Neurospora crassa OR74A: one gene and its partner. The protein of the gene in region 1 interacts with the protein of each later gene in a biochemical or structural test. Links are inferred from orthologs where the notes say so. Each region holds a gene or a part of one and is shown on either strand. Other genes may lie near its edges.

Region 1 (4,321 bases):
AAGTCACCGAGGAGGGTGTGGACGCGGAGCAGACCAATGATGGAGAAGTAGCCGAGCATCTTGTAGAGGTTCTTGGAACCATACTCGCCGGCGACGGCCGCGGGATCCTCGTTGCGCTTCATGGCGGCCAACTGCTCGGTGATCTGCGACTTTTGGATCAGGGAGTAGAGGACGTTGAGGACGCTGTAGCAGCCCCAGGTGTTGGGGTTTTCGCGGAGCATGGCGATCTCCTCCTCATTGTTACCTTGACGGGCGATGCGAGCTCTGTACGAGGAGAACGAGTTGAACTGGTAGATGAATTCATCGATGACGTCCCAAGCCCAGTAGTACTAGTAAGAGGAAGAAAACATGTGTCAGCACAAAGCTATCCCATGAGACCATGGAGCCGAGGATATCGATGATCATGGCGTAAGCGGAGGTAGACTAACGGAAGGGGGCTCGAGGTCGACGGGGCCCTCGGAGTTCAAGATGAAGTGGAACAAGCTGCAGTAGGAATCGTAGCTCGAGAACTTGACCTCCAGACCGGCGGAGTAGTCAAGGGGCTGGGCGGCAGCGGCGAGGCGCGACTGGATGTCGTCGGTCTGGGCGGCGAGGGACATCTGGGTGGACTCGGCGTCATCCTCCTCATATTGGACCTGCTCCTTGTAGTCGTTGACGAGGGCCTCCTCCTCGACGTCCGAATCGGGGTCGATGGCGCGGGCGGGCGCTTGCGCTTGCTGGAAGGCGCTCATGATGGGCTATAGTGGGAAGAGAGGAGGACTCGGGAAAGGATAATCCGACGTCGCGTCCGGGTCGAGAAGAGTTCACTACGGGGTCGGGGGTCCGGAGTGGTGGTGGTGTGGGTGAGGTCGGTGGTGTCTCTCTGTGGTCGCGAAGAGTGAGTGGCCCGAAGCGAATCGACAGGACTTTGCTTGGCGGGGCTCAATTTTTTGCTGTGTGGCCCGTCGTCCGTGGGCTTCTTTCACCCACTTTGCTAGCATTGTGAGGGGGGCGGGGCCCGCGCTAGGTCGCTTCCATATCCGTTGGGAATTTTGGGAGAAAAGCGGGGTGTATGCAGTTTCAGGGTATGGTCTGCCACTGTCTGACTGGGCACAAGGAGCGCCAAGCATATGGATATATCGATGGCTCACTCGATCTGAACGATTGAAATTCGAATATCAGAGTGGAGAATTCAACTATCAAGCACACTGTTCAATAGCAGGTCAGACAGGTGGCAGGCAGTGAGGGGCAACTGGAACCAGTCCGATGCCATCTCAAATGACAGCGAATGAATCATTTCAAAGTCAACTTTGAAAGTCAGGCACCGCGCGGCGGGCATCGTCGGCGCGAGAAAAAAGCACATGCGTGTACACTGCTTTCTGGGCTTGATATCAACTGGAGAATGACAGTATAAGATAAATAATAGCACCAAACCTCGCAGAAAATAATACACAAATGTAGTTCTTGTGCATCTTGGTTCACGTTCTCTTCCAGGTTGTCTGGCTCCGGCTTTTTTTCCCTGGATTTTCCAACATAAAAAAAAAGCTGCCCCGCCAAAAAGTTGCCCAAGATCGACTTCCAAGACTGACGCCTCCCATCCTTTACCCATTCCCATATTAATCAGCGATCACCTCAACCACCTTTCATACCCATTAAGCTCACTCGAGTAAGCACAACACCTAAACCTCTAACTGCACTCTACAGTAGTCCCGACACCAAAAACAGAATCTATATTTGCTCAAAGGAAGCTCATCAGTTGTGAATAATCATCATGCCTGTTGTCCAGCCAGAAAAGCTGGCCAAGCTCCAACAAAATGCCGACGACGTGAGGAATGTAAGTTGAGCTGCATGTGATATGCATCCTTGTGTAAACCCCAGCAAGACTTCAGTTCGAGGGCCTCAAGCTAACTATCCTTTTTTTTTTTCAGATTTGTATCTTGGCTCACGTTGTATGTATTCCCGATACCTAAGCAACGTACCTAGCCTAGATCTATCTGTGTTGTTGCTACAGAGACTTACACTTCATCTTCCTTAGGACCATGGGAAAACATCACTCACAGATGCCCTTCTCGCCACCAATGGCATCATCTCACCAAAACTCGCCGGAAAGATTCGCTATCTCGATTCCCGGCCGGATGAACAGCAAAGAGGTATCACCATGGAGTCTTCAGCCATTTCACTATACTTCTCCATGTTGAGGAGGTCGGCTCCTGACGCTACTCCCGAGGCCAAGGAGTACTTGATCAACCTGATCGACTCCCCCGGACATATCGATTTCAGCAGTGAAGTGTCCACTGCTTCTCGCCTTTGTGACGGTGCCGTTGTTCTGGTCGATGCTGTCGAAGGCGTCTGCAGTCAGACAGTAACCGTGTTGCGCCAAGCATGGACCGAGAAGCTCAAGCCCCTTCTTGTTATCAACAAAATCGACCGCTTGGTTACCGAGTTGAAGATGACCCCGGGCGAGGCTTATATCCACCTCAGCAAAATTCTCGAGCAAGTCAACGCAGTTCTTGGAAGCTTCTTCCAAGGTGAGCGCATGGAAGAAGATCTCAACTGGCGTGACCGGATGGAGGAAAGAGTGGCTGCCGCCGCGGCCAAGGAGGCTCAAATAGCTGCCGGTCAACCTGACTCCGGCGAGCTTCAGTTCCAGGAAAAAGACGACGAGGAGATTTACTTTGCGCCAGAGAAGAACAACGTTATTTTTGGCAGTGCCATCGACGGCTGGGCTTTTACTGTTCGCCAGTTTGCCGGCATGTACGAGAAGAAGCTCGGCATCAAGCGTGGCTTGCTGGAAAAGGTTCTCTGGGGCAACTTCTACATGGATCCCAAGACCAAAAAGGTACTTGGGCCTAAGCATCTTAAGGGCAGACCTCTAAAGCCCATCTTTGTCCAGTTGGTTCTGGAGCCAATTTGGGCTGTCTACCAGGCCACGGTTGGTGGTGACTCCGGTAAGGGTGATCCCGCTCTTTTGGAGAAGATCACCAAGTCCTTGAACCTCAGTGTACCGCCCCACATCCTCCGCTCTCGGGATCCCAAACTACTCCTTACCACGGTGTTTGCTTCTTGGTTGCCTCTCTCTACGGCTTTGCTCGTCTCAGTGGTGGAGTCATTGCCTTCGCCCAAAGCAGCTCAGGCGGACCGTCTCCCAGACCTCCTGGCAAGCGTACCCGGCGCGGACCACATCGATCCCAAGGTCAAAGATGCCATGGTCTCGTTCAAAAAAGATCCATCTGAGCCTATGGTTGCATATGTTAGCAAGATGATATCCGTGCCTGAAAGCGAGCTGCCGGAGAACAGGCGCCGCGGACCGCTTAGCCCTGAGGAGGCTCGAGAGCTGGCGAGAAAGAAGCGCGCCGAAGCCATTCGTGCCCAAGGAGGCGCCGACGGTGACCCTGACATGAACGACCTGGCCAACGCCTTCACCAGCACCTCCTTGACCGACAATGCCGTGCCGGAACTCGAGGAGAAGCCCGTCGAAGCGGAGCATCTCATCGGTTTTGCCCGTATCTACTCGGGCACTCTATCCGTTGGCGACGAGATCTATGTGTTGCCCCCAAAGTTCTCCCCGGCTGATCCTCATGCCCAACCCGTCCCGAAGAAGGTGACGGTTACCGCTCTCTACATGCTCATGGGTCGCAATCTCGAAGCCCTTCCCTCCGTCCCAGCTGGTGTCGTGTTCGGTATTCGCGGTCTCGAAGGCAGCGGCCTTCTCAAGTCCGGAACGCTCTGCAGCCAGCTCGAGGGCTCGGTCAACTTGGCTGGTATCGCCAACCTGGCCGGTCGCCCCATTGTTCGTGTCGCTCTTGAGCCTGTCAACCCCTATGACCTGGACAAGATGATTCAGGGTCTTCACCTCCTTGTCCAGAGCGATCCGTGCGCTGAGTATGAGCACTTCTCCAGTGGCGAGCACGTCCTCTCTACTGCCGGCGAATTGCATCTCGAACGCTGCCTGACGGATCTGCGCGAGCGGTTTGCGCGATGCGAGATCCAAGCCGGTGCGCCCATTGTGCCGTACCGGGAGACGATCGTTCGTGCCGAAGAGATGCGCCCTCCAGTGAACAAGGAACTCGGCCGCGGTGTGGTTGTCGGCGTCACGAGCTCCAGGCAAGTGACGGTGACCCTGCGCGTCAGGCCCCTCCCGGCCCCCGTAACTGAATTCCTCCAGAAGAACTCCGCCGGCATCAAGCGGCTGTACACGGACCGCAAGGCGGCTGGCGTCGAGGACGGCACCGAGTCACCCTCTGTAGAAGAGGCTACGTTGGAGAACGGCACCCCGTCGGACGTCAAGATTGAAGAAGACGAGGAGGTGTCCCAAGCCGCCACCACCCTCACGCCCGAGGAG
Region 2 (3,887 bases), about 1.8 Mb from region 1:
CAAGTATGTTCATTCAGGCACCTCATGATCTTAACCATATCGCGAATCCGGAACAGAACCGTTTTCAAGAGGAGGGTCAATATGTTGAATATGGACGCTGACTTTTATGCAGCGTTGACGGCAAGCAGAAGGTCGTTTACTCCTTGACCAAGATCAAGGGTGTCGGTCGCCGCTACTCCAACCTCGTCTGCAAGAAGGCCGATGTCGACCTGAGCAAGCGTGCCGGTGAGCTCACCTCTGAGGAGCTTGAGCGCATCGTCACCATCATGCAGAACCCCACTGCCTACAAGATCCCCGCTGTACGTTTGAACGGATTTCACTCGATATGACTTCGTCGTCTAACCTTGTCTACAGTGGTTCCTCAACAGGCAGCGCGATATCGTTGACGGCAAGGACTCTCAGATCCTCGCCAACGGTGTTGACTCCAAGCTCCGTGACGATCTTGAGCGCCTCAAGAAGATCCGCGCCCACCGCGGTCTCCGTCACTACTGGGGCCTCCGTGTTCGCGGTCAGCACACCAAGACCACTGGCCGCCGCGGTCGTACCGTCGGTGTCTCCAAGAAGAAGGGCAACTAAATCTGTGCGGGCATATTCGGCGCTGCTTTTTCTGGGTTATTGGTGGTGTTATTCCAAGACGGGCAGTCATGGACACCTGGGACTGAATTGTTTCGCCTTGCGCGTATCTGGATTCTAGGTAGCCTATGGCTAATGGGGGAACTCGCATAATGGAAGACACATCATTGACAGCATGACAATAAACGGCGTGGATATGGAAAATGATTTACTGGCATTTTTATTCGGTCTCTATGGACGTGAAACACGCAAATCCATTAAATCCATTGCCTAAAACAACCCACTATGATTTTCGATGCCATAACGCCCACCCCATGTATGTGACCAAGACCACCATAGACGAAGACCCAGAGAGTATCAGCCAGTTAAATCGAGAAACGAAGTCATGGCTTTAATCTTCGTGAGTGACGGCCATATCCAGGACCTCTACTCTTCCCTGTCCCTTGGTTTCGCTTCCGATGAAGTCAGACAAGATTTTAAAAGCACCGGGCTCTACGAAGCCCACCAGTTCCCACTCTTGGCCCATGACATCTTGGCTCTCAACCTGCTCAACGAAGCTGAGAATCTTGTCCTTGACCGTTCCGGGTGCCTTCTTCTCTCCCTCCTCGCCATCCTTGTTGGCCTCCCCCTTGGGAGCCTTGACGGCCTGCTTGAGCACATTGGTCGTGCAAGTGATGCGTAATCTCATCCTCGCCCTGGCAACGGGTATAGGCTGATGGGCAACGAGCGCCTTCATGGCCTCCAGCGCCTGCGACTTTGCGCTCTTGTTTGTCGAAACACCGGTCCAGATGGGTAGGGACTTTGTAGGCTGCGGCTTCGCCTCGCCGCTCTCGCCCGTCGCCGGCGACGCCGTACCGCTCGCGGCCGCATCCTTCTTCTCCTTCTCCTTCTCCTGTAGCTGATGCGCCTGCGAGCTGAGCATGTCCAGCGCCTTGTCGATCATGCCGGTGGTGTAGACCTTTTTGGTGCGCGGGTCGACCAGCTTGCTGGCGACAATGGAGACGACTTCGTTATGGACGCGCTCCAGCTGCGCGCTGCGCTCCTTCTCGCCCACCTGCATCTCGCCCTTTTTGAGAATCTCCAGGATGATGTCATTGACCGAAGTGTCCTTGCCAAACGCCTTTTGCAGCTCGGCCGTCGGCGCCGTCTGGCCCTTGGACACGTTCAGAAAGACGTTGGGGATCTGCAGGACGTTGTCGAGGTCAGTCTCGATGCCGGACCGCCATTCGAGCACTTTGTTCTTGTAGCAGGCAACCTCGAAGCGTTTTTTGCCCTTTTTAAGCCGGACAAGGGAGACGTTGGTCAGTTTGATCTGGTTGGAGGGCTGTTGGATCACCATTTTGGCGGTGGTTGTGTAGTTGTCGTGAAAAGAGTATAATTCGATGGTTCGACGGTATTGATTCTCCGGGAAATGAAGCCGTTGAAAATAGCTTCGAAGGTAGTAACAGTCGGGTATATAGGATGCTGGACTGGCTTTTCTGAGTAGCTGATATGTTTCCAGAAACCGGGCATACAAGTTGACTTGCTGCAGTTTCTCTGAGAATGCGCCCGTAAGAGAGATAACGATATGCCCGTGGAGCAGAAATTCTTGGTCGCCCGCAGCTTCCACTTTTCTCCGCTGCAGAGCGGGCTTTGAAAGTCTGCCCCGCCTGCCCGCCGTACCGCCCCAGTCCCCTCTGATGGACGGATGGGCCGCCCCATCGGATCCCTAGCCGAATGACGATTGACGGCGGGCAAAAAGCGGACTTGTCAAGCACGCGATGCGGGAATTCCATTTGTCCATCGGATGAGTCAGTGGGTCTTTCTGTTATCGATACCATAACATCACGCTTGGAGACGGGTTTGTCAGATATTCAACATGATAAAGACTGACACGAAGTGAGACCTCTTCAGTTTTGAAGACAGGAAATGGATGTCAAAGTCATTCAAATTGCAAGGGATCATTTTTCATTACTATTATCACATATTCTCTGAAGCTGGCGCCTGTTCGAGTTGAACTTGCCAGGAAAGCAGCACAAAATCACCGTTCGTCTGATATCTTTCAGGGGTATCACGCTGCATAATGCGCGACTCATGAGGATTATCTACTGGAGTTCCGTGAAGGATTATCATCTCCTCCTGGGAACAACATTCTTATATCCGGAGTTTGGAGTATCATACATGGACAATAATTCAGCAATGAGAAGGAAATGAGTGAGTTGTTGTCGGGCGGTGGACATGGAGTCGCATCGAGGCGACCTTGCTGGCGAGGTTGAGACAATGACGAAAGGTAGCTTATCAGACAGATAGGTTGATACCAGGTTGATTGGCGCCACGTCTTGAGGCCAAACTGTACAAGAAAATAAGAGGTACACATGGCGGTGAGAGCCTTATAGGCGGCCCTCTTCACAAGCGTTTGGTGATTTTTTTGTCTGGCTGATCGGCTAGGCGTCCGTTCTCATGACCAGCGTGACCGCCCTGCAAGGTACCTGACCAATACCCAGGCATGCACTCATGTGGCGGCGCAGCGTCTATCCAATCCCATGCCAGCTTGCCCCAAATCCTGGGGGGTTCTGCTGCATCCGCGTCCGGTGAAGCTCGGTTCCGGGGCGTTTTACCTTGGCAGTTGCTTGCCCATCCATTTCCGTTATCAACCTCCTCTTCCTTCCTCTTCCCCTCTTCCATCTTCTTCTCATCATCCATCTGTATCACAACATCAATACTCCTAACATCATCACAATGAGGATCTCGGCTTCAACCGTGCTCCTCGGGGCTGCCTCGGCCGCCTCGGCCGCCTCGTTTCAGAACCAGGCCCAGCATGTCCTTGCCGACAACTTTCACAAGGCCCATGACGCCGTTAAGCCCGTCGCCGACTCGTTCGCGCACACTACCCTTGAAAGCTTTGAGGAGGCCTTCAATGGCATGAACTCCCAGGCCAAGGCCCTTTGGGACGAGATCAAGCTGCTTGTTCCTGAGAATGCTTTCGATAAGCCCACCTGGTTCAGCAAGCCCAAGGCTGCTAAGCGCCGCAAGGACTGGGACCACGTCGTCAAGGGCGCTGATGTCCAAAAGCTGTGGGTTAAGGGCGCCGATGGCGAAAAGCATCGTGAGGTTGGCGGCCAGCTCGACAACTTCAACCTGCGCGTCAAGTCGGTCGATCCTTCCAAGCTCGGCGTCGACAAGGTCAAGCAGTACAGCGGTTACCTTGATGACGAGGAGAACGATAAGCACCTGTTCTACTGTAAGTCAATCACGCTCGAATGTACTTGGTTAGTAAAAATCACGGTGCTGACTCGGACTGTCCAGGGTTCTTCGAGTCTCGCAACGATCCCAAG

What was found.
Region 2: the proteins of NCU06278 (region 1) and NCU00476 form a complex in vitro, tested with the Saccharomyces cerevisiae proteins (3 studies listed by BioGRID). The link is inferred for Neurospora crassa OR74A from reciprocal best matches to the Saccharomyces cerevisiae genes RIA1 and SDO1.

What each region holds. Positions count from the first base shown.
Region 1 is NC_026503.1:2,179,266-2,183,586, reverse strand, and holds the start of NCU06278 (elongation factor 2, variant 2), read left to right. Parts: upstream 1-1,404; 5' UTR 1,405-1,645; exon of another isoform or gene 1,646-1,735; 5' UTR 1,736-1,750; coding exon 1,751-1,813; intron 1,814-1,907; coding exon 1,908-1,928; intron 1,929-2,014; coding exon 2,015-4,321. Other genes in the region: NCU06279 (eukaryotic translation initiation factor 3), read right to left, coding at 1-329, 429-731. UniProt on the Saccharomyces cerevisiae protein: GTPase involved in the biogenesis of the 60S ribosomal subunit and translational activation of ribosomes.
Region 2 is NC_026503.1:3,986,397-3,990,283, forward strand, and holds NCU00476 (UPF0023 family protein), read right to left. Parts: upstream 2,274-3,887; 5' UTR 1,913-2,273; coding exon 965-1,912; 3' UTR 689-964; downstream 1-688. Other genes in the region: NCU00475 (40S ribosomal protein S18), read left to right, coding at 1-3, 113-299, 355-576; NCU00477 (carboxypeptidase Y), read left to right, coding at 3,292-3,793, 3,859-3,887. UniProt on the Saccharomyces cerevisiae protein: Involved in the biogenesis of the 60S ribosomal subunit and translational activation of ribosomes.